3 linked regions of the Diceros bicornis minor genome follow. The protein of the gene in region 1 purifies or fractionates together with the protein of each later gene. This does not show direct contact. Links are inferred from orthologs where the notes say so. Each region holds a gene or a part of one and is shown on either strand. Other genes may lie near its edges.

Region 1 (8,489 bases):
CTTTTTCCTGTCACCAACATCTGACAATAGCTGATATAGACTACTGGGACCTATGGTCATTTAACAAGAGATGATGGGAAAGCTCCAGAGATGCTCATAGACATGAAAGTGAAAGAAAATCTGCATTTTTAGAGAAGTCATTTTTATATCCATTACAAAAACATTAGGCACTAAAAGAGAATGTTGCATGTATAAACCACAGAAGCCACAATGACTTTAAAGCACTGCTGTTCTTTACAAAAGTATCTGTGGTGAGACAACAGTATTGGTCTCCTATCTCAGCTCACAGAAGGCACTATTAAACTCATCAGACCCTGCCTCTTACTATGGACTAATATAAATTCAAACATTGAACACAAAGGGGTCATTTTAGAGGCCAATGCCACTAATGCCAATGCTGAAATATGCATCCATACTCTGTTTTCCTTGGGGACCACATACCAGTATGTGTTCTGTGCAATGGCTGAGGAACCTCAGCTTCTGAATATCTCTCCTGCATGAGAGTATTGGGTGTATGTGGGAATGTGTGTGTGTGTTGGGACAAGCATGGGAGATACTTGTAGCTCTACAATGGGCCTTTTTCAATGCTTTCCATCCAATTAATACTAGACATTAGTAACCAGTGGAGCATAAGAATTTCATTTATTTCTGGCGATGAGAATGATAGAAAAGAAACTGGGTTTGCTCAATGGAATTAGTGTAGGCTTTTAAAAGGCATGATTTCTTTTCTGTGCTGTCTCCTTCATTTACATTGTATATTTCATTCACAAGTCTTTCCCCAGTGGTCTTACAAGAGAAATATCCATTGAAAACCACCTGGATTTCCAGTCAAAGGATACTATGGGAAGAGTTAGAAGTAAGTGCCTGTACACACACCCCCAACTCAGTGAATATGAGAAGAAAATGAGAAGGAGATGAAACAGAAACCTCATTTCAGGAGTCTCCAGCAGAGAGATCTGCAGTGAAACAGGCCTGCCAGAGACTGTCATCCAGAGCTGCTGCTGCAGACATTCAAGCTAAGAATTGGAGGGAAGGGAGGGGGCAGGGGAAGAAAGGCAGGGAAATCAACTATTGTCTCTCCCTGGCTTCACAGTAACTCCCCGAAAGCAAGACAATCTTGGCAACTTAGCCCCCTCTCTCCACATCTCCCTCCAGTCCCCTGCCCCTTAGTTCCTCTGGGGTTCTCTCAACGACATCTGAGAGGAAGAACAAGAGTCTGAGAATGGATAGCAGACTGGGGTGGAGGGGTGGGCAGAATGAATTAATGAAGCAGAGGCAATCCCTAGGTAAGCCAGCATTTGGAGGGGACAGCTGAGTAGGATTCAAAATATGAAGAGGAATTCTATATTCCCTGAGAAAGTGTACCAAATTCCCCAAATCTGTGCTGACAGAAAAGAGGAATAGGAGGAGGGAAGAAGGGCAATAGTTTTGAGATCTAGAACTAAGCTTGGAACATCGAAGTAATAGGGGCATTTCAACTGTCCCAGGGGCCCTGGAACAAGGAAACCCAGTTTTGGCTGGGACCTTGTATAAGTCGGTAGAAGGAGGCATTCTGCAATTCTGCCAGGAAACTTTTCTCCCAACTTGGTTGCTGGAGAGGAAGGAAGACCCTGGGGACTGACTGCGTTCGGGGAGAAAATATGATCTAACTGGGGGAGAAGGTTTGCGAAAGAGGGAAAGAGGGCTAAGAACCAGAGGCTGAGGTTTTGGAAACGGGGGTTAGTTGATAGTGATTGCAAATTGATGTGACTAAAAATCAAATCCCGACACGCTCATGCGAGAGCTGCTCACCGGTCCCAAAGATCTGGAAGAGAAGGCGGGGCTGGGAAGCACGGATCGCCGCGGACAGCCTTCCCTCTCTGCCCACTTCCGACGCCTTCTTCTCAGGCATCAGGCGGATCCTCAGCCGCCCTTCGCCGTGGCGAATCCACCAGCTGAACAGCTCGCTGAGGTTGAATTGGAGCAGCCCCGCAGCAGCCTCCTCTGGGGGCCCGGCGCAGCCCTCAAGGATCGCCGCCTCTCCCAGCTCCAGCACCAGCTGCTTAGCGCGCCGGAGCTTGCGAACGGAGCCGCCCTTCAGCACCCTGGACAGCGTCCGTGCCGGGGCCGGGGCAGGCGAGCCGGAGACCCCCGGCCGTGGCCCCAGCAGCCTAAGCAGTGGGGCGCAGTCGAGAGCCAGCGAGCCGCGCGCCTCCAGCCGGCCGGCCCTCGGCTCCGAGGAGGACGGCGGCGGCAGCAGCAGGTCCCGGGCATAGACGCGGAAGAGCGAGGGCACCACGAAGTCCACGGCCAGGCTCTTCCTCTGCAGGCGCGAGTAGCTGAGCGGCTCCCGGGGCTGCAGCGCCGGCCCCACGGCTGGTGAGCCCACGAGCTGGCCGATTCCGGTCCCCGTCCCGGTCCCGGAGCCCGAAGCTGCCGCTGGAAGCAGCGGTAGCAGCAGCCATAGGAGTCCTATAGCTCCCATCCCGCCAGAGGAGGGTTGCTTATACTAGTCTCCTGACTCTCCGGGATCCAGCCTCGCCTTCGCTTCCCCCGAAATGGGAAGGGGCTCCTAACAGTCCTTGGTCCTGAATGGCTCCTTCCACCTGATCTCTGGGGGATTGTGCGTGCACTGGATTCTCTTGCTTTCCACCAATTGCAAGGAGGCGAGCAGGAGTCTCAATAAAGCGGGTCTGGAAGCTCAGGGGCGTGTCAAGAGACCCTGAAGCGCGAAGGGCTTCGCAGCTGGGACCCTGTGCCTTTCGCGCGCCGCGCCGAGAGCCGCGCCCCCGTCTGTGGCTCGCTGCGCTCTGGAAAGAGAGCAACTACTATGGTCGAAGGGAGGTGGCAATTGGGTAGCGTCCTGTCCCGCCCCCCGCGGCCTGAGCTGCGGTCTGTCCGCTCTCGAGCAGCCTCCAAGCCTCAGCAACTTTCCAGCTGGGAACGGCGGCTCCGAGCTGGTGTCTGCTGTCCTGGACGCCTCCTGCGCTCCTTTCCGTTCCTCTGAGCTCCTCTCTCTCGTCTGGGGAGGAACCGAGGGTACGGGCTGCTTTCTGGCGCACCCTCCTGCGACCTTCCGCAGCGGGGAGTCTTCGGACTGCACTGCTCGCTGAACTTCTGGGCCAGAATTGAACCCCCGCGCTGTGAAGCAGATGCTCAGGCCGCTGCCTCGCAAGTTTGCAGCGTCCTTGCTCTCCTCCCGCGTCTCGTCTCCTTAGAGTTCTCCGACACCAAAGCGGCCCCGGAGGCAGAAGCGGAACGAAAGCGGAAAGAGAAGCCGAAATCTCGCGGCCCCCTCCTCATCCATCGGCAGCCTCTGCGACTTCGGGTAGCTGGCCAGAGGGCGGCCAGAAGGCGGCCCGGTGCCCCGCGACCCTCCGGACAGCGGCGGCGGGAGGTGCCAGCTGCTACCGCCGTTGCCGCCCCCAGAGCCGCTCGATCGCATCTGCCTGGGTGCCCGCCACTTGCAGCTGGCGGAGCCGCGAGCGCGCGCTGGGAGGGGGCGGGGCCGCGGCCGCAGCGGGGGCGGGGCTCGAACGCCAACTCCGCGCCGCTGCCTGGCTCACGCAGGCCCGCCCCGCCCCGCTCGCACCCGCCAACCAATGGCGCGCCGAGGTCGGCTCCTATGCAAATCTGCAGAGGCCTTGGCATTCATTGAGAAAAGCACACAGCCCGCCCCGCCCTGCATCCCTCTCCCCTCTCTCCTTCCTTCCCCTCCTCCAGATTCCCTGCCCTATTTCTCCGCTGTGTGAACAGGAGCCTGTTTTGGATAAATGGGAGGCCTGCAAGGGGCCTTTGTAATCAACCACTCTTTCTAATTATGCATTTAGGAGATTAAATGGGTCCCACTTTGGAAAAGCGGGTTATGGAATAAAACTGGTGGCGAGGGGAAGGGAGGAGGGGCAGCACGACATTGCCAAATCCCAGAACAGCTTGGATTAGGGCCCTGAGACAGAATCTTCTCTAACCCTTCCACTATTTGAAAGCATTCCTGGGAACCTGGTGGTCCCACCATCTACGCAAGAAAAGTTGGCAGGGTGAGAGTGTGGAGCGGCCGCGATCTGGCAGAGTTCTTCAGCTACAACTAATATATTTCAGACCTTTCAGTCACCCTGCGTTTTCTCAGAATGGTGCTTGAACATGTATCCTTTAGTCTCTGCAATGTAAGTATTTGAAATTCCAGTTTTAGAGATGAGAAATATGAGTCACAGAGATCTTAATTGATTTTCCTTGGGTCACATAGTCATATGTGCCTCCCAAGCCCTTACTCATGTGCTCTCACCACTGCTCTGCTATATCTCTCCACTAGCGAGAGGCCAAGAAGATCTCGTGGTGACTTACCTAGAAGGGATAATGATCAGACACTCTTGCTCATAGCCTTGGGAGTAAGAGGTCAGAACTGCAGGCCTTTTTTAACTCACCTGTGAAGTAAGGACTGTAACTCTGGTCTCTCTTTCCCTTCATCTCTCATGAGCTGCCAACACAGAACTCAGACAATGGCTGTGTTTATAACAAGTGGTTCACTAGAACCTGAGACAAAACTACAATCTCTGGTTCACACAAATCCTTCCCTTCCTTCTTCTCAAAAGTTGATTGTCAGGCCTTGTGAAAACTGACAGAGCTAAAAATAAGGCAAGGTCCCCCCTTGAGGAGCTCAAAGCCTGGCAGGTAGCAGAAGAGCTTCGTCACAGAGTCGGAGCACAGAGCGGAGTTGAAGCTCCCTCAGTGAGCCGCAAAGGGCTGCAGTAACTTGCCCACCGCCCCACAGGAGGTGGTGGCCAAGCAGACCTCTGCTTTCCCAGGCTTGGCTCCTCTGAGCATTGTGCTATTGCCTTTGGCAGTTGGAAGACCTAATAACAAAAGAATATTGATTCTCAGAATGACTTGCTTCTGCCTCTATGTTTGACAACTCACTGAATTTGACAAGCAACTGGCCTCTCCTTGAAACTTAAACTGGATACACTGACTTCACAAGTTCAAGGACAAAGAATGATCTGACCCAAGTAGAAGAAATGATGCTCCTACCTTGGTGGAGGAAGGCGGGAGGGAGGGAGAATGAGAAAGAGAAGAGGAAAGAAAGGGTGTGGAGATGAACACTTCCCTAGTATGTGAGCATATATGTTTGCATTTTCATTTCGCTGGCATGCACACTGGTGGAAGAATAATCTTCTATTTGAAATACTAAAAGTACTAAAATGCAGGCTGTTGCACTCCCCACTCCATCTCTTACTTCTGTATATAATTCTTATCCAAAGTCAAATTGACTCTAGTAATTTATCAATAACTATAAATTTTCTGCTATAATCAATGGCCACTAGGGGGCTGCAGAGACTTGAAACTTCAGATGAGCTGCCAGGGTTTAACATTCTCCCAGATAACATCCATGACCATTTACCTTTGCACCTAGTGGACACATGGGTCTCAATTAATTCTCATACTTTTATAAATTCTCTCAAATTTCCCCCAAGGAAGGACAAGTGCTTCTCCCTGTAGATTAAATCACACCTAATCTCAAAAATGTTGTTCCCTTTTTGTTAATTTAAAAAAGGAGGCAGGAACAAATATTGATAGACTCTATTGGTTACTATACTTATGTATCTGTAGGAGTGTGTGCCTGTGTGTGTGTACATGTTTGTGTATCACATCACACAGTGGCCTTTTGGAGGAAGATATATATTATTATTTCCATTAAAGAGACAAAACAGTTAAGGCTCAGAAAGGCAAAATAATTTGCCCATGGTCAAACAGCAAGTAAATAACAAAATTGGAATTCGAACCAATGATTCTTTTCCTCCAAAATTTACATGTCCCACTGGAATGAATTAGGCTTTTTCCTTATGCCTACAGCTATAATTTTGACACCTCTATCCTATATCGTTGCCATCTAGAGGATGGGAGATAAGAAAGTATAGATGAGAATGTGCAGAAGATGGGAAAGAGCAAGTGGGGCAAACAGAGATAGAAAGATAAAAAGTGTGAGCATAAGTGATAGCTAACACGTCTTGTGCACTTATTATGGACCAGCATATTTCAAAATAATTCTCATGCATTATCTCATTTAATATTCACATTAACACTCTGAGGGGAAGTAATAATATCTCTATTTTACAGATTACAAATGGAATGGCCCAGAGAGGGCAACTTCCCAACAACAAGACCACACAGGTGACAAGATCTGTTACACGATTTGAACCTGGATATCTGACTAAGAAGTCCATGCTCTCAAATCCTGGGCAACCTCATAAGACAAAAAACGGAGTGGGTGGAATAGGCTGAGATGGGCAGCGGTGAACAGAGGAAGAAATTGAAAGCCTGACTCAAAAAGAGACACACAGAGGGTGGGAGTGGCGGGGAGAACAGACAGGAGATACTGGGAGCCCCGAGGACACAGCTAATAAGGTGAGCTGCTCTGGGTCACCTTGGCAATGACTTGGGCAGTTAAGTTGAGGAGGGAGGAAAATGAGAAGACCAGGTACCAAGAGAGGAAAGGGTCAAGGTGGATGCTGAGAGCAGCAAGACCCACCTCAGGAAATCCCCCACTTCTGGAAAGGGAGAAGTGGACCACTCAGTTAAGGAGGGGTCTGAATTCTCTATAGGGGAAGCAGTAATATAAACGGCATTTCAAATCCAAGCAGTATGACTTAAGGCAAAACACATCTCAGAACTGCAAAATCTGACTGAGACCTAGATGATTAATTAAGTCAGGCATTCAGTTGGTCAAGAAAAAGGAGGAGGGGGAGGAGAAAAGGGAGAGAAAGAAGGAAAAGAGGAAGACGAGCAGGAGAAAGAGGAAGGAGAAGGAAGAGAAAAAAGACAAGAGAACAATCAGTAAGTGAAGCTGAAGTAAGGCATGAGAAGATGCTTACTGCTAAGACATTGGAAACCCACAACCAGCGTAGCTTACCCAGGGCCAAGAGCAGGAATTGGGACCCACAAGAAACATTCCAATGAACTGGGGATTTGGGTTCAGGAAAGTGGATTTCAATCACAGCCTTGCCTCTCAGAGGCTCTATGACTTTGGGAAAACCCTTGGCTCCTCTGGGCTCATGTATCAAATTAGAAGGACCAGATATAGTCTTTAAGACACATGTCCACTCTGAAATTCTGTGTGAGATTCTCCAAGTGACTAAAAGCTCTCGTCCAAGACTGGGGACAGGAACTAGAAGGAGACTATGAACTTTCAGGGGAACCAGGAAAAGAACTTGGACCTATCACTGGCCAGAGGAAAAATAAAACAAAACAAAAACTCCTTTGAGAAAATGTCTCTGCCACTAGACAAACCTGAGCTCTGAATCTATAGTCTGCAGTCTTCTAATAATCATCATGCTAAGAAGAAAGCAAAGTTATTAATTCAACCATTATTTATTAGGCACCTACTGTATGCTTGGCTTTCCATAAGGTGTGGAGGGGAGATACTGTGGTGAACAAAACAGTCAAGGTTCTTACCATCATGAGGCCTTGATAAAATTAAATGAAAAAAACCCAGAATACAAAATTGAATTCATGCCTATCTTACAGTTAAGCAAAAATTACAAATACAAAAAAAAAAAAAAACATAACCAGAGGAAAACATTGAAAAATAGACTTACTGGGGTGGCAGAATTGTGGGTGATTTTTTTTCTTTATACAAATGACTTTTAATGGTTTTATATAATAATAGAATTTGATTCCTACAAAGAAAATTTATCAGTCAGGATAGCCAGGTTACGTTGTAATAATAAAAAACCACCCTCAAATCTCAATAACTCAAAAACAATAAAATATATTCTTCTCATAGTCCATATCCACTTCGGGTGAGCAGAGGGCTCTGATCATCATAATCATTTAGGGATCCAGGCTGATGGAGCCGCCACTATAGTAAACTTGGAGGGTCTTGCACCAAGAACTAAATACTCCAGCCTGGAAAGGGCACTTGTCATTTCCACTCACAGCTCTTGCTGGAAATATCCATGTGGTCCTACCCTATCATGAAGGGCCCACAAGGTAGAGAGTTAGAAATGTCTAGCAAACAACTTCATTGACTCCCAAGGAAGGAGAAAACCTGCAAGTGTTGCATTAGATAACTTAGACCAGGAGGGGTCTAGCAGACTAGAGATACCCGGAGGAAAATGACCTTATTCCCCTGGGATCCCAGTCACCAACAGATAGCACAGCCTCTCAGTCTGTGCATACATCATAGGGGAAACAACACAAGAGCTCAGACAGCTCTCATCCCTCCCAAGGCACGCTATGAGAGGCCACACAGACACAGAAAAAGCCCTTCTCAAACACTAAAGAGTGACAGTTCTCTCTTGGAAACTATAAACAATGTCACATTTACTGAAGAGAGAGAAACAACAAGAGAGAGATCAAAGCAAACAGTTCACCACTGTGTATTTCACAGCAATCCCGGTGTTTAGCGAAGCCCGGTACATTAGGGAAGAAGGATGTAAGCTATTATCGTAACCAACACTTGTTGGTCTTATCACCTGCTGCTATCCTAATATTTTATCATCTTTTTAAATATCATT
Region 2 (7,655 bases), on another chromosome or scaffold:
AAGAAAAAGTGGTGAAGTTTCAGAAGCACACAGCAGGAAGTCTATAACTGGTTTGTATTCATTTATGTCAGTATCTGCAACATAAAAAGCCAAACATCAACCTGGTTCCTGTCACGCCACCATGACAACGGGCACCAAAGCACTTCCCCACCCCTCTTTTGAGCCAAACTACCTGCCTAGAAATTAGCAGCTGCCAGCCCCATTTCACAAGTGGTAAAGTGAGCGGGCTGAGAGTTACGCCAGAACGAGGACTATACACGAGTGCTGTGCACGCCCACTGCATCACACTGGCTCTCTTTCAGGGCCACGGACACCCTGAGGGTAGCAGAAGTGTCTCTCTCTTTGGTCAGGCTACAGGCACTGTGTGGTACCCTGGCAGGGTCAGCAGGAAAAGGCCAGGCACCTGAGGCACCTGGGCAAGGGGCTAGGTGGCAGGGGACCCAGCTGGCAGCCCAACCTTCCTCAGAGCCCGCAGAGGGTGGCTGCTGGGATCAGAAGCACCAACGACGTGTGCTCATGAAGGGGCAAAGTAGGGCAGCTCAGTGGGAGGCTCCATCTCCAAGGTCTGTGCTGCACATAAGCACCTAAGAGCCTTTTTACCAGACTCCTTCAATCCAGGCCTCCAAAATCAAAGGGCCAAGGCACCTTCTATGCCCTGTGCCTACGCTCCAGGCCTCTCAAATCCCAGCTAACTGATGAGACCACTGAATTTGTACCCCTCTGGCTGACCCACCCTTGGGGACTGGGGTCATCAGGTCCTCTGCATTCCTACCTCCATCCCCCAAAGACCTGAGACACCATGGATTAAACTCTTCCCTTTCCACACCCCTTCCTTCTGTTCAGGCCCCAACATACAAATAAGAAAGTCACAGCCAGAAGTCAGATGTGTACATCTCCATATACTTACTCTATACACTGTTCTCCATGGTGGGTGGATGGGTGAGTAGATGGGTTGGGGCAAAACAAAACCATTTCCTCCCCTTTTCCGGGTAGTGATCTAAGTGAAATATGAACTTGGTCCCCATCCTCCTCCCTTCCTGCACCCTCACCCGCTCCGACAGCCACTCTCCAACTCCCTCAACATTCCCAGTCCAGGGTCTAGGAGGGCAGCCACAGTCTACTACTGTTACTGTTATTATTAATAACAGCTCATATTTATTAAACATTTACAACGTGTCAGGCACTGTGCTATTTACCTGTTACATCAATTTTCTCATTTAATGCCCAGAACAACCATATACAGTCGATATATTACTCCCATTTTACAGTTGAGGAAACTAAGGCTCAGAGAAGGTAAGTAACTGGCCGGGGACACACAACTAATATATGGGCTTCAAATCCAGCCTTGCCTTCAACCACTGTGCTGCACTTATTAGCTGCTGGTCACGCACCTGGTCTGAAATGCAGCCTGTTACCCAGGAGATCTCTACCTGGGAACCTCCAGCCAATAACTGGGAACCAGTGACACCAATTCAGCAGAGCACAGGGAGCACCACAGAAGCAAGGGGCCATGCCTGGAGTCTGATGCCTGGGTGATGTTCCCGGGACTATCTCAGCTCTCTGCAGTGTCTGTCTTCCTCCACTTCGGAATCCAGTTTCTCAAATCACTAAAATTTTCTCCAAATGGCTGACAGGGCGATGGGGGCATGGAGGAGGGCAGCTGCCATTTCTAAGTTCAGCAACTGTGTCAGATCTGGAGTTTGTAGTTGAGGACGGCTGCCTCACCACAAGACCTTCCTTCCTCCTAATCTCCTCAACCATCTGTGTGCATGTACACCATACCCAAGGAGGTCTGTAGGAGCTTCCCTTGGGGGTGTCGCTTCCTGACCCTCCTTCCTCCACGTGGACCTAGTTCTGAGCCTGGCTCTAACACCAGTCTCTGGGGGTCCCTGCAGGAAGCAACCCACAGTGTGGGGTTGCAGACACATCATCTCTCACACCTGGAGGCTGAGGAATGGAGGGCAAAGCTGGGTGCCCATCTGGTCATGGCACAGACACAAGCTAAGTGGAGTAACACTCTGAAATATATGGGGCTTTTCAAAATCCCCCAACTCCCTCCTCCCAACTGAGACCTGCACAAAGGCAAGCAAGCTCAGGCCTGGGAAGGCAAAGAGGCAGGAAATCAAGAGTAGCCGCTCCCGGCTCCCTGCAGCCAGGGGACGCAGGACACAAAGGGCTAGACCCCAAACAGGCTGCGAGCTCTTGAAAAGAGCATCTGATTCCATATAGCACAGAGGCTGGCCTTTCTGGGACCAAGCTCCAAGCGTACGGGGAGCCTGGTCCCTTGACCAAGAGTCCCTGCACTGGCTTTGGGTGTCTCTGCCCACCCACACAGACCTCCAAAATTCAGCTTCAGGACAAAAGCAGCAGCGGGAAAAAGCTGCCACTGTCTTCTCTCAGGCTTCTCCAAACCAGAGGGGGACGAGTAGGCCCGGCTCTGCTCCAAAACCAGCCCTACCTCAACATCTGCCTAAGTTCTACTTCGGTGACCCAAAGGTTCCTTTGCAAATAAGAGCCCAGCCCGGGGTCCCAGCGGCTTTCACCAAAACTGCACTTTTTGGAGAAAGGGTGGTGGGCGGTGATCGTCCGGTCTGGCCCAAGTCCTGGGCCTGGGTGGGGGATGCTGCCTTGGCTCCCCTCGCCTCGGCGGACACCACTCCCGGGGTGTGGGGGACCCGATGCCTGCCCCACTGCTCTCCAACCCGCTAGGATCTTGAGGCTTCTGGGCAAAGCGCCTGGAACACTCCCCCGAGCTGGGGGAGGGGGGCGTCCTGTCAGGTGACTGAAGACCCGGATGCCCCCCGCCCCCGGTGACCACCGGGGCCGCGGCGGGGGCGGGACCCGGAGGGTGCGGGGAGGGCCTGAAAGTTTGCCCAAGTCACTCCAGCGGCCGGCCGGCCGGGGCGCGCGGGAGCCGGGCGCCGACCCCTACCGCCCCCGCGCGCGCAGCGGGCCCCGGGGACGGGGCGCACTTACTGGCCCCCTCGATCTTGTCCGCGCCGCGGCTCCACGTGATCTGCCGCGTCTCCAGCTTGACCTGGAAGGTCTTCCGCTCGGGCCGCTGCGACTTCTTGGAGTAGAACAAAGTCATGACGGTGCCCACCTCGAGGCTGCGGCAGAGGTGCAGCACCTCGGCGTCCGAGGGCGCGCCGGGCCCGCAGCCGTTGGCGCAGGGGGACGCGGCGCCCGCCATGGCTCCGGCGCGGGGGGCGGCGGCGCAGGCCGGGCAGGGGGGAGCCGGCGGCGGCGACGGCTCAGGCGGCTGGCGAGCGGGCCCCGGCGGCGGCTCCTGCGGGCGGAGACGGGGCGGGCCTGAGTGGGGGGCGGGCCGGCCCCGCAGGCCCCGCCCCGGCCCGCGCGCCGGGAACAAAGGCGCCCGCACGCCCGTGGGGAGGACCCCCGCCCGCCGCCCGCCGCGCCTGCGCCCCGCGACCCCCCGGACAGGCCCGGGGCGCAATGGCGGCGGGAGCGCGCGCGCCGCCGGCGGGCCACCAGCCCGACCTCCGTCCTGCGGGGCTCCCTCCCGTGGCCCCGGACACGGCCTGGCGGCCACTGCCGACCCGCCACGCGCGGCAGCCTCGCACCGACCCGGCAGTCAGTCGCACACGCACAGGCGGCCGCCCACTCCGCTGTCCCGCACAGGCCCAGCCGCAGCCGTTTCCTCAGCCCCGCTTCCCGAGCGCCGCCCGTGCCGCGACCGGGAGGAGGTGAGGATGCGGAGCTACCCCCGGGCCCGCCGGCCAAACCTAATTACCTGGGCGGGCTGCCCGGCGGAGGGACCCAGGCCAGGCCGGGCCGCCTCACACCCGCGGCGGCGGCGGCGGCGGCGGCGGCGGCGGCGGCGGGTCCTCCGCGCGCCCTCTCAGGGGAGGGGCGGGGGCGGGGCTGCCTGCGGATTGGCCGGCGGGCTCTGATGGACAGCAGGCCTGTCTTGCCCCTCCTCTCTGGTCCCGCAGGGCTGGACCGCAGGCCGCTCCTGCGACGGCGGGACCCGCGTCTGTCCAGCGCTTTTGGCCTGTGTAGCTTTGGAGGGTCCCGTCATTCGGCCTGAGCATCGCCTGCAGGGCCTTTAGACCTGCGGCCCCCGGCGACCTTCCTCTCTGCCCCTCGCAGGGGCCACTGCCCGCCCACCTCCCGCCCTGTCTCCACGCGGCAGGGCGCGGGCTCAGGCCTTACCTCACCGCGCCCCCCCTTGCAAATGATCTGCGGAGCTTTTGTTTTCCTGGCCTGACTCCCCTTGTTTTCCTCCTCCCTCTCTGGCCGCTGCCTTTCGGCCTCAGAAGCTTCTCTTCCTCTGGGCTGGGTCCTGAGCCAGTTCCCAAGGCGACCTGACCTTTCCCATGGCTTCACCCCCAACCCAGGCACCTGGAGCGCCAGATCTGTATTTCCCCTGCATCCCACTGCCTGCTCCACGTCCCCACTTAACACACTCATCTCACCTCCCTCCTCCAACTGCGCCTCCCACAGTCTTTGCTTTCTCAGAACACGGCATAAACTCCTGTAAGGTGCTTAGGCCAAAACCGTTTGGACATATCCTTGATTCCTCTCTCTGCCTCAACCCCACAGCAGTCCATCAAGTCTAGGTCACTCTACCCTCAGGTATCTACTACACCCACAAGCCCAAGGCCCATCTTTTCTCACCTGGTCTGTTTACCCTTGGCCTTGCCTGCATCTGTTCTCCATGCTTTAATCTTTAAAATGAAACTAAATCATGATCCCCTACCTCTGTCCTCAACCCTTTTGTGACTTCCCATTGCACATAAAATCCACACTCCCTTCCTGGCCCAGCCAGTCCTGTATGGTCTGGCCCTTTTCTCTCTCCTTTCTCTCTCCCCCACTTCATCTCTCACCACCTCCCCTTCACTCTCCACTCTCCAGCCACAAGTCCTTTTTATGCTTATTTGAATGATTCACACTCTTTGTCTTCCTGAAGCCATTCTTTAGACTCGCCCTTGCAATCTGGCTGCCCCGCACCGCCAAAACCGAAAACACCTGCGGTCACAGTGGAACCTGGCTGACAGATGTTGAGCCAGGCAGAGCAGGACAGCTTACCTCATTTCAGAGGAGAGAAGCCCGGCAGAGCCCCCAGCTGATGCCAGAGGAAGATCCAGGTTTCCTGGAGTTTGTGAGTATGTGAGTGTGTGCTCAGGCACTCTACCCAGCTGGGTGGTGACTAGTGTCTGGGGCTGCCTCTGGCTTTGTGTTGATGTAGTGGTAACTTGTGTGTGTATGTTTTGATTCCCTCAAGTGTGGCCCCTAAGAGGCTGAGAATTCAGCCTCAAGTTGAGATGCTTGTGCTAATAGGCTTCAGCCACCTAAGGGGAGGTGGAGTGGCTGAGATGGTCTGCCACCTAGTGACGGGCCTTTAAAGTGGGAGGGAGGTAACTAAAGTTGACCCAGTGCTTATAATGCGTACACATGTGGTCACACCTGATCCTCATAATTACCCTCTAATTAGGGATTATTGTCCCCAATTTACTGATGAGGAAACTGAGATTCAGAGAAGATCCACAACTTGCTCTGAGGCCACATAACTAATAAATGGGGATTTGAACCCAAGTCTGTCTGACTCCATGCATTTTCTGCCTCACAAGAGAGCCACTGGCTTAAATAGGTCCTGGCGGTCCATAGCCAGTGGGCACGGAGGCTAGCTGGCTAATCAGGATGGGTGGGGGAGGCCCTAGGCATGGCTGGCCCTGGGCACAGGGAACTCAGCAGAATGTGTATGCTCATAGAGTGTGGGTTGGGCTGGCTTGGGCTTAAAGTGATGCTGCCCCTGTCTGTGGCCTCTGAACATCCCTGTGCTAGACATTGGTGCCGTGAGTTGGGAGAATGAGGGAAACCCAGCATCAGCACTCCAGGAATTCATAGACATTAAACAGATAAACACTCTGTGATGTAGGGACAATTTTGATGGGGGCTACAGAGGAAAAGAACAGAGGGCCATGAGATAAAACTTTAAGGAGACCTCCTTCAGATCTAGTAGACAAGGAAGACTTCTCCAGGACTCAGCAGAGGCCTAAAGGATGTGAGTAGATGGCCAGGTGAATTATCAGAGGTGGGTTGGAGGAAAGTACTTTCCAGACAGAGGTAACAGCATGTACAAAGGCCCTGAGGCCAGCAAGAACTTAGTGAGTTTAGGAATAGAAAGAAGGTTAGTTTGCTAAGTGAGGGGGAGCATGGGAGGTGATGAGGCCAGGAAGACAGGTGGGGGCCCCTCTGTGCTTATGTGGTCTTGTCCATCTTTCCAGGAGGTCCCCTCCTAAGTGCTACAGCCCTCGTTTAGCTTCTTGTGCCGAGTTGGGCAGCCTGCAGGCCGTGATGCCCTTTTAAAATCTCTGTTTCTCCATTTTCTAAGAGCTTCCCGACATGCAGCCCATACTTCCTTGCTTTTGCTTTTGCTTTTGCCTCCGGAGCCGGGCCCCCAGGGGCTCCAGAAATCCCTGCCAACAGGAGCTCATATTGTCAGTCTGCTGCCGGGCCCTTAATCAGGAAACAGGGCCCCATTTCCTCCTGGGACTTCTGAGCCAGCATCCCAGGCCTCAGGTGCCTCCCTCCACCAAAGGAGGTTCAGGAAAAGCAGGTCACACAGCGGGTATGGCTAGTATGGGCTTCCCCCAGCTCAGCATATATATATGGATACGTGGGTGTAACTGGCAATGTGTGCAGCTGGACCGGCTGGGAGGGAGCAGCCCAGCACCCACACGAGGCACACGCCCATGACATTGCCCAGGCTAGCCCTGCTTGGGCCTATTTCTGTCAACACTCGTGCTTTAACATGCTCTGGCCCACACCACACCTGTGCCTGGAGTCTAGGGAGGAGTCCTAGCCCAATGTCCCTCTGGACCTCATAGGTGTTTATTTTATTTTATCTTATTTACCGAACACTTAGAACAGTGCTTGACATATTGTAAGCCTTATGTAACTGCTTTACCCACATTGGCTTACTCCTCATTACAGCACAGTGAGATATGTACTCTTATTATCCCCATTTTACAGATGAGAAAACCGAGGCATGGAGAGATTAAGAGACATGCTCATGGACACACAGCTAAGAGGTGGCAGAGATGGGATTCAAACCCAGGCAGCCTGGCTCCAGAGTCAATGCTACCTTGCCTCCCATATAGGTATGAACATTTTATTGTGTATCCTCACCCTTTTCCATGATACCCCTACCTGATGTCTTTTCTATTTTTATTTATTTGGTTAAATGTTGTCACAGGTTGGGTTCTTTGGGAGGCAGGCTCTATGACAGAGGTTAGTGTGAAGAATGTTTATTAGGGAGTGCCCTTGGGCTCAACACTGTGGAAGGGGAAGGAAGGAAGCAGGAGGAGGCACAGAGAGTAGTTAGACTGTGAGGCAGGCCTGATGACAGCCTCAGCCAGCCCCTGGGGAGCTCTGTGGTCCGGTGCTGGCTTGAAATGGCTGGGCCTTCATAGCCCCGCCTCAATCAGCCATTGGATGTGGGCTGCCCTGGGAAGAGCACAGCCTCTGCTAGACAGCTCTCTGCAGCTGAGGTGATCTTAGGGGGCTGACAGGTCTCCCAGCAGTTGGGCAACAAGTGCTTCCCTGAAGGGGAATCTGAGTGGCACATCACTGCCCACCACAAATATATTCTTTTCCAGTCCTTTAAAAAAGTTTAAAGTACTTAAGAC
Region 3 (7,514 bases), on another chromosome or scaffold:
CAAGGGTCTTAGAAGCTGGGGGTTCCCAACACCAAGAGACCACCACAATCCTGCCCCCCACCTGCTTTCCCCTGCTCCTCCACATCTCCCAGCAGCACCGCTAGCCCATCGACCCCAGGTACCTTTCTCCTCCTTGTGGCCCCCTTAGCACCCGGCACAGCCTCACACACCAGACTGATGGCCTCCCTGGGGAAAGAGGGGTACTCAGACCCAGGCTTGCCTCCACTTGGCTGGGGCTGCCCCAGGGCTGGGGGAGGGGAAGACCAGGCCAGACTCCCAGGGCACTCCAGGCTCTCTGTCGTGGTGGATTGAATTAAGGGCCTTTAATATTTGATGACACTGAGAGGCCGCTTCCTGGCTGATTGGGTTAGGGCCTCAATGGGTATGGCCCCACCCCTTTCCAGCTACCAAATGTCCCATTCCCTTCCCAAAGGCAGCAGCAACCTTCCATCTACCCCCATTTTCTACTCAAGCTCCAGCTGCCAGCTGCCTCTGCCACCTCCCCCACAGCTCCCCAGGCTGGATAAGTAAGGAGGATCCAGGCCAGAGTTGCCTCTTTTCATTCAGACTTAGACTTACTCCCCTAACTTTCTCTCACTCCCCTTTACCACCCTAAGATAAGCCATCACTAGCACCACCACCAAGTGACCCACTTCCCACCTCCCCGCACTAATCCCAGGACTTCCATAATCCGCCCCCCCCCGCCCCCCACTAACCTGGTGACCTGAGTCCGGGTGTTGAAGTCTAGGGCACGCATTGACTGCAGGACCTCCACACAGCCCATGTACTGAGGGGACGGATGGGAGGATAACAAGTCAGCCGCCTCCCCCCAACCCCTTCAAAGGGCCCTAGGACTTTCCCCTACGTTGTCCCTAAGGGAAGTAAAGATGAAGTTCTGCCCACTGCCCGTGGCTACATCCCACAACATGCAAGACAACAGGGAATGAGGGGAAAAGGAAAGGGCAGGCTAGGAGGACCTCATGCATCTGGGAAGAGAATTTGGAGGGGAGTGACAGGCATTAGGTGGGATGGAGTGACATCTCCAGAAAGGGGGAGGAGACTGGAGGGGACAATCAAGAGTCACTCATTCCAACACTTACTAAGGCCTTCAATGTGCTGGGCATTGTGCTAAGCATGGCAGGGCGGGGGTGGGAGAGTCACAAGAAGGAAGGGGGCCCAGGCAGAGCTGGAAAGGAAGGGACTACAGAATTGGAGGAGGGGCAAGAAAGGTTTAACAAACAGGACACTGAAACCAAGGGAGTTGTTGGGGGAGAGCAGGAAAAAAAGACTCCAGCTTTGCTGAAGTGAGCAGAGGAACTGCAGGGGTCTGGGAGGGAGTAGGAGGGAAGATGTTCACTCACCCGAACCAAGTAGGAAACCCCCGGTCCCATGACTTTGTCGTTGGGATGCAGCCAGCCCCGCGTGGGCTTATTGACAAAGCTCCCGTGGCGGGTCCACTCCTCGCCCCCCAGCTGGCCCCCTTCCACCCGAGTCCTGCGCCCGCCGCCTCCACTCAGCTTGTTCATGTCCTGGAGGAGGGGCAGGGGGCCTGAGTCCGGCATGGCTGCCCCTAAGATCCCCTCCCCATCCTCGGCTGCCCTTCCTGGCTCCCCCTTGGGCCCCGGGCGCCCCCCAGCCGGATTGGCCAGCTTCAAGTTGCTCATCCGGGGGAAGAAGGAGCACAGGGTAGTGGGACTATCGTCTCCAGGCAGAGGTGGCAGGATGGGCCCCAGGGATGAGGCTGATGGGGAAGGCAGCTCCTCCGGTGGGGTGGACCCTGAAGCCCCCTCCTCCAGCGATGACAGAGACTCATTCCGAAGTGGGTTGTACTTGGGCTTGGGGGGCAGGAGATCCATGGCTGGAGTGAGAGGGAGGCTGCTGCCCAGCCCGGCCCCCCTGCCAGTCAGGGCAAGGGGGCCAGGCAGGGGGCATCCCCAGGCCTTTAGCCTGATCGGACCTCTATGGCCCAGAGATCTCAGGGGTCCTGGGAAGGGAGAGGGACGAGTGGCTCTGGCTCCCCCGCTCAGACCCAGACAGTTTCAGGCCCCATCTATGCCCAGCGTGGAGCCTCTTCTCTGGCTGAGAGGAGAGAGACCAGGCTGGACCTAGAGCTGCCTGGCTCCTCCCCAGGGGCGGGGAGCTAAGGGGAGAGACCAATCCCGAGGACAGTGCTGACTCACAGGCTCCGAGGGGCTGAGCCCCCACCAGTGCCCCAACCTAGAACCCTTGCAGGGGTAGAACTCTCCATGCCCCCCTGCCCCATACAAACAATTAGTAATCTGGGGAGGAGTAAAGTGGGAGTGGGTGTGGGAGGGAAGGACGGAGGAGTGAAAGGAAAGGAGGGAGATAAGAGGAGGTCTAGATCAATCCAAACCGGACATGGGCAGGCCAAAGGGAGCAGGAAGCTGAGGGAGGGTAGAGGGGAATGAGGGAGGAAACAGAGACAGCTGGGGGTGGAAAAGGGAGGGGATCCCTGAGCTCAGCATTTCCCTTCCTATCCTGGTTGAACACTCAAATTCCCCCATCCTCCAGCCCAGGCCACCCCCCACCACTACCACACAGTGGGGTGGTGGCCCCAGGGAGCCTGGGCCATTAGCATCCTCTGTTACAACAGCTGTGGACTGGAGCTAAAGAAACGGGAAAGGAAGGAAGTGGTCCCAGCGGATGCAGAGGGGCCAAGAGGAAGGGCAAAGCTGGTGAAGTAAGGAAAATAACATCCAACCTGGGCGGTGCATCAGGGAGCCACCAGGCAGGAGCTGGAGCAGAGGACAGGCTGAGGGAGCCTTGTTCTCTATGCATGGCACCTACCATGCCAAGGAGCAGCGGCCCACGGCCAAGCACTCTTCTGTCCCTCCTTTCCACAAGCCTCATTAGCAAAGCAAGCTGTCAAGGGTAGAAGGGAGGTGGGGGGGTGGGCAGGGCACTGACACTAAGCTCAGCTCCCTGGACTTGCCAGGTATGCTCACACTCCTCCTGTAGTGTGACTGGGGAGGGTGCAGGTGTCCACCATAGAGCACAGTGCCCCTCACATCAGGGGCAGGATCTGGCCAGAGGAGGTGGGAAAGTGAAACAGTTCTCCAAGAGAAGTGGGTGCTACAGGCCATGAAGGGATAGAGGGGACAGAAGACAAATCTATGCTAAGTACGGGAGAAAAGGGTGACAGGAGAAGATGGGCTGATGCTGGACACAGGGAACAGTCCCAAACTCATTCCTTCCACCCACACTTCCTGCCACAGCTCTGCTTCAAGGGGCCATGGAGGAAGTTGGAAAGTAACCAAAAAATAAATAGTAAAAAATACATTTACCTCCCAGGCTCACCTCGGAATTACTCTACTCTTAGATTTACTTCAGAAGATAAAAATTCACAAATAATCATAAGATTATAGTGATTGCCACTACTAGCACTTAAAACGTGTTAGACACTGTGCTAAACTCTTTCAGCTCCCCTTGGTCCTCATCCAAGGAGAGTTTTGTCACTCCATCTACCACTCCTGAGAAGGAATTCTATCACTGCTTTTCCTAAGGCCTCTGCGCTCAGGGACAGAGAGAATGAAGAAAGGATTCTGCCATAGGCTCACACCCTCAACTCACACACACCAGGATGTCCTCATCTTTAGAGATTGGCGTTCTGTGGGAGCCTGCAGGATCTAGAGGCAGGGAATGGCCAACAGGTGTGGGTATTTGGAAGAAAAGAAAGAGGAAGTAGGGCTCCTAACATTTGCATAGGAAAAAAGGAGATTGCCTACTGGGAGTCCCAGTGATTGGGTGAGGGGCAGAAGCTGCGTGTGGCTTCTCAGCCCAGCAGGGAGGAGGAGGCAAGAGCAGTGGGAAGTAGCAGGAAATGGCGAAAGCCTCAGGAATGTTTCCAGAAGGGAAGGCTGGGTAAGCGGGACCAGGAGGAATGCCCAGACAATAACTCTGGTTAGGAGAAGGGGAAGAGCCAGAGAAGTGGTGGGGGCTGAGGAGTCCCTTAAAAGAATCAAACAGCAAAAAAGGACACTGTCCCCTACACCCACTCCAAGCTACCGTTTTCTGGTGGTAGAAAACTTTCGCTCCCGTCACACACCAGCAAATCCATGGCCCCACCCAGCTCCCGAGGTACAGGTATGAGACACAGCTGTTTCTGGGGTGGAGTCAGTCCTGGGAAGGGAAACTCAGAGTGGGGCTGGGAATCTATGAGCAAGTCTCTCTCCCACTCTCTTGCCAAACCCCAAGTCCAGCCCCCTTCAAGTAGGTCCAGCCTTGGAAGGGGGTAAGGGAGAGGAAAACGGCTGCCTCTAATCTCGCACTCCTCAGAGCCAGCGTTGGGAACTTTGACTTCCCACGCGGTGGAGCATGAGAGCTCAGGAAACTGAGCCCAATGCCCAAAAGAGAAACAGGTGGAGCTTCTGGGATTGAAGACAAAGCTTCTAAGGCGTGACCTGGGTCCCACAGGGATAAAGCTCCTGAGGGGGCGTGGTCCCCTAGCACGCGTGCATCAGACACTTCTAGGAGACGAGGCTTCTGGACAATCAGATGTAGATTGAGGAAGGGGCGGGGCTTCTAGAGGGGCGGCGCCCATAGGGAGGCGTGGCTTCACGAATTCGAATACAGTAGTTCTGTGAGGGGCAGGGTTTTGCGCTTTTGGGAGATAGGCTTTTTGATAGGAGTTAGCGGAGAATCGTCGCGAGGAGGCGGAGTTTCGGGGAGTTGGAAGGACTAACGTAAGGCTTCTTGTAGTAGGCCTTGGAAGCGTGTCTGGGGGTGGGACTTCCAGGAAAACTGGGTGACAGGGTGGGGTCCGAGACAATAAATATAAAACAAGTGGGGATTCGGGGAGCCCCCTGAAGTTGGGAGGTGGGACTTCCGGAGAGGGGGTCTTGGGGGCGGGACTTATAGATGAAGACCGGAAGTAGGGTCCCCGGAGAGGGGTTCCGGGGTGGAGGAGTGGGTCATCAAAAGAGAAAAAAAAGTCCCAACTCACCAGGGCCTCATGGAGTCTCCGCACCGCACCGCGGGCAGATTTGGTGCCGGATCACGCCACTGCCTCTTTAGGTCGCCGCTCCAACTTTCTCCCCGGGCCTGGCCTCCCTGGAGAAACTTTATTGCACTCACTTCCGGCCTCACTAACCCCTGACCCTCTACCTCACCGTCCCTCCTTCACCCGTCCCACTTTCCCGAATCAGCCAATGGCAGCGCGAGAACGCGCACGGGAGCAGCGACAGCCAATAAGAGGCCTATTTTTGAGCTACGCTCGTTCTTGAGAAACGTAAGAAGTGCACTCCAATAAGGACTCGAGGAGAAGCAAATCCAAGCCAATCGGAGGCTTGAAGGTGGACTTGTCCCGCCTTAAGCCAAAGGGGCCAATAGGAAGCGCGAGCGGCGTGTTTGAAAGCGAGGCCAAGGAGGGTGGGAGCGCGTGCTGCTGGGAGTTGTTTGGAGGTTGGCGGCGCGGAGCTGGCGGTCTTCAGGCAGAGTGATCATGTCGCACAAACAAATTTACTATTCGGACAAATACGACGACGAGGAGTTCGAATACCGGTTAGTGCTGGCGGGGGGCCATAACGAGGTCGTGAGTTTTGACAAATGAGGACCCAAGGAGTTAGTAACAGGGACTGAAGCGACAGAATCGGCGCATGCGCGGAGGTTAACGGGACGGGCGTGATAGTTGAGAGCGTAAGGCGCATGCGCGAAGGGTGGGCGGTGATTGTAAAAGAAACAAAGTGGTAGTGAATTTGGAGTCGACCCTGTTGGGAGGAGGTGTAGGTGGGCGTGGTTAGAGTGTTAGCTTGCTGACCACCTTCACCTTTGCGGGTTTCTGGAACCTTCAACTTTATTGAGCAAGTTGAACTTGCCCTGACTGCTCGTATCACGGCAACACCATAGAACCTTAGAGCCTACTGGGAAAAGGTGGCAAAGGCGGAGCTCGAATTTTCCTCGCGTCTTCAATGCGAGGGGAGTTCTGAGAGAGCCTGAGTGCTGCTCATTAATTCATGGAAAAGGGACGTAGTTGTCTGGCTTGTTTTAGGAAAGGAGCTTGGAGGAATTGGAGTGGAATAAAACTGGCCAGGAACATTGAAAAAAGACTTAACATGAACCTAATACATGCCCTTCAAATATTTGAAGGGCATCTATTTAGGAAACAATTATGGAGTGCTTATAGGTTTCAGGTGTTCTGCTAAAGTGCAAGGGTAAGCCATGGTCTCTGCTTTCAACAAACCTACAAATCTGTGAAATACTGACAGACTTCAGAAAAAAGTGATAATTGGTATGATAGAGATGGGAGCACCTATGGTAGAGATAGGACTTGGCCAAGGATGGTGAAGAAAGGAATCCCTATGGAGTTTGCATTTGATAAATCCTAAATCCATAATTCTAGATTGGAAAATTAGAGAAGACAAAAATTCTAGAAATGTTGTCATTCCACTAACCTGTATTAGGTGTAATACTTTAAACAACTTCCTAGTTTGTATCTTCTCAACTGAAGAACATAGAATGGAAATTGCTTTTCTTGTGTTTCTTCTCCAACATAATGCAGGGAGAACTCGGTGTGTGCTGACAGATACATAACCATCTTTATGCCAGGTCCTTGGGAAAAGACCCCAGGCTCTGCTTGGATCCAGTTAACTGTCTTCCTCAGCTGTTTTCCTCTACATCTGAGCTAAGCTAACTAAAACTGCCTATAACATCTTTGCAGGACTAGGGAGAAGTCACTAGTTTGATCCTCTGGAAGATGTAAGTCTTGGCAGTGGTATTTTGGCTTAAGAAAGTTGTTTTCTGTTTTGTTTTTTTTTTCCCCTTGGTCTAATTAGGTATTGAAGCCAAACTTTGTGCCAGGGGCTTGTTAGAATATAAGCTATTTTCAGACATTTAGACTAGAATTATCTCTTTGGAAAAATGTCTGTTACTAGCACAGAGAGTGCATTTAGTAAATTTTCACTGAGCGTGATGAAGTTGATCTGGGTTAGCCTGATTGAAGTCAGGGTAATAATTTCTTTGCCATGAAAGAAGACTTATCTTGGTTGGGGGAACATGGAGTTTCCCAAAAGACGTCTCATGGCACATCCCTTCAGAGTTAGGAAAATGAGATTCAGGATATATTTTAAAGGATAAGACATTTGTGTTTCATCCTTTGTGATGGCTGTTCCACACAGCACTCCATAATAGGCCTTTCTTGTCCACAAAATCACCTCTCTCCCCTCCTTACCAATCCTGTTCCAAACCACCTTTAATAATTAATAGTGTGTGTGCTGTGGGGCTCCCATTATATTGTTTTAGGGTAATCAACTGGAAGACTGTAAGCCCTGAGAAGGCAGAGGCAGTGTATCAACATGCCTGGAACTCAGGTGCTTGTTCACTTGGGTTATTCATTAGGTTGTACTTGTTAATATACTTTTGTGAGGATTTACATAACTTGGCCTTTACTTCTAGCTGCCTCTACCCCACAATAAGATTATATAAACTCTTTGCCATCAGAAACCGGTTTCTCTTTTCTTTCCCCTCTTGGCTTTGTATGCAGGCCCTTGTCTAACAGA

What was found.
Region 2: the proteins of ALK (region 1) and PLCG1 purify together in Homo sapiens (affinity purification with western blotting; 3 studies listed by BioGRID, with this or other methods). This does not show direct contact. The link is inferred for Diceros bicornis minor from reciprocal best matches to the Homo sapiens genes ALK and PLCG1.
Region 3: the proteins of ALK (region 1) and SHC1 purify together in Homo sapiens (affinity purification with mass spectrometry; 3 studies listed by BioGRID and IntAct, with this or other methods). This does not show direct contact. The link is inferred for Diceros bicornis minor from reciprocal best matches to the Homo sapiens genes ALK and SHC1.

The regions. Positions count from the first base shown.
Region 1 is NC_080751.1:53,198,594-53,207,082, reverse strand, and holds the start of ALK (ALK tyrosine kinase receptor), read right to left. Parts: upstream 3,238-8,489; 5' UTR 2,465-3,237; coding exon 1,792-2,464; intron 1-1,791. UniProt on the Homo sapiens protein: Neuronal receptor tyrosine kinase that is essentially and transiently expressed in specific regions of the central and peripheral nervous systems and plays an important role in the genesis and differentiation of the nervous system.
Region 2 is NC_080758.1:19,442,814-19,450,468, forward strand, and holds the start of PLCG1 (1-phosphatidylinositol 4,5-bisphosphate phosphodiesterase gamma-1), read right to left. Parts: upstream 3,290-7,655; 5' UTR 3,194-3,289; coding exon 2,977-3,193; intron 1-2,976. UniProt on the Homo sapiens protein: Mediates the production of the second messenger molecules diacylglycerol (DAG) and inositol 1,4,5-trisphosphate (IP3). Plays an important role in the regulation of intracellular signaling cascades.
Region 3 is NC_080743.1:58,916,777-58,924,290, forward strand, and holds the start of SHC1 (SHC-transforming protein 1), read right to left. Parts: upstream 3,290-7,514; 5' UTR 1,857-3,289; coding exon 1,362-1,856; intron 788-1,361; coding exon 717-787; intron 187-716; coding exon 123-186; intron 1-122. Other genes in the region: CKS1B (cyclin-dependent kinases regulatory subunit 1), read left to right, coding at 5,462-5,520. UniProt on the Homo sapiens protein: Signaling adapter that couples activated growth factor receptors to signaling pathways. Participates in a signaling cascade initiated by activated KIT and KITLG/SCF.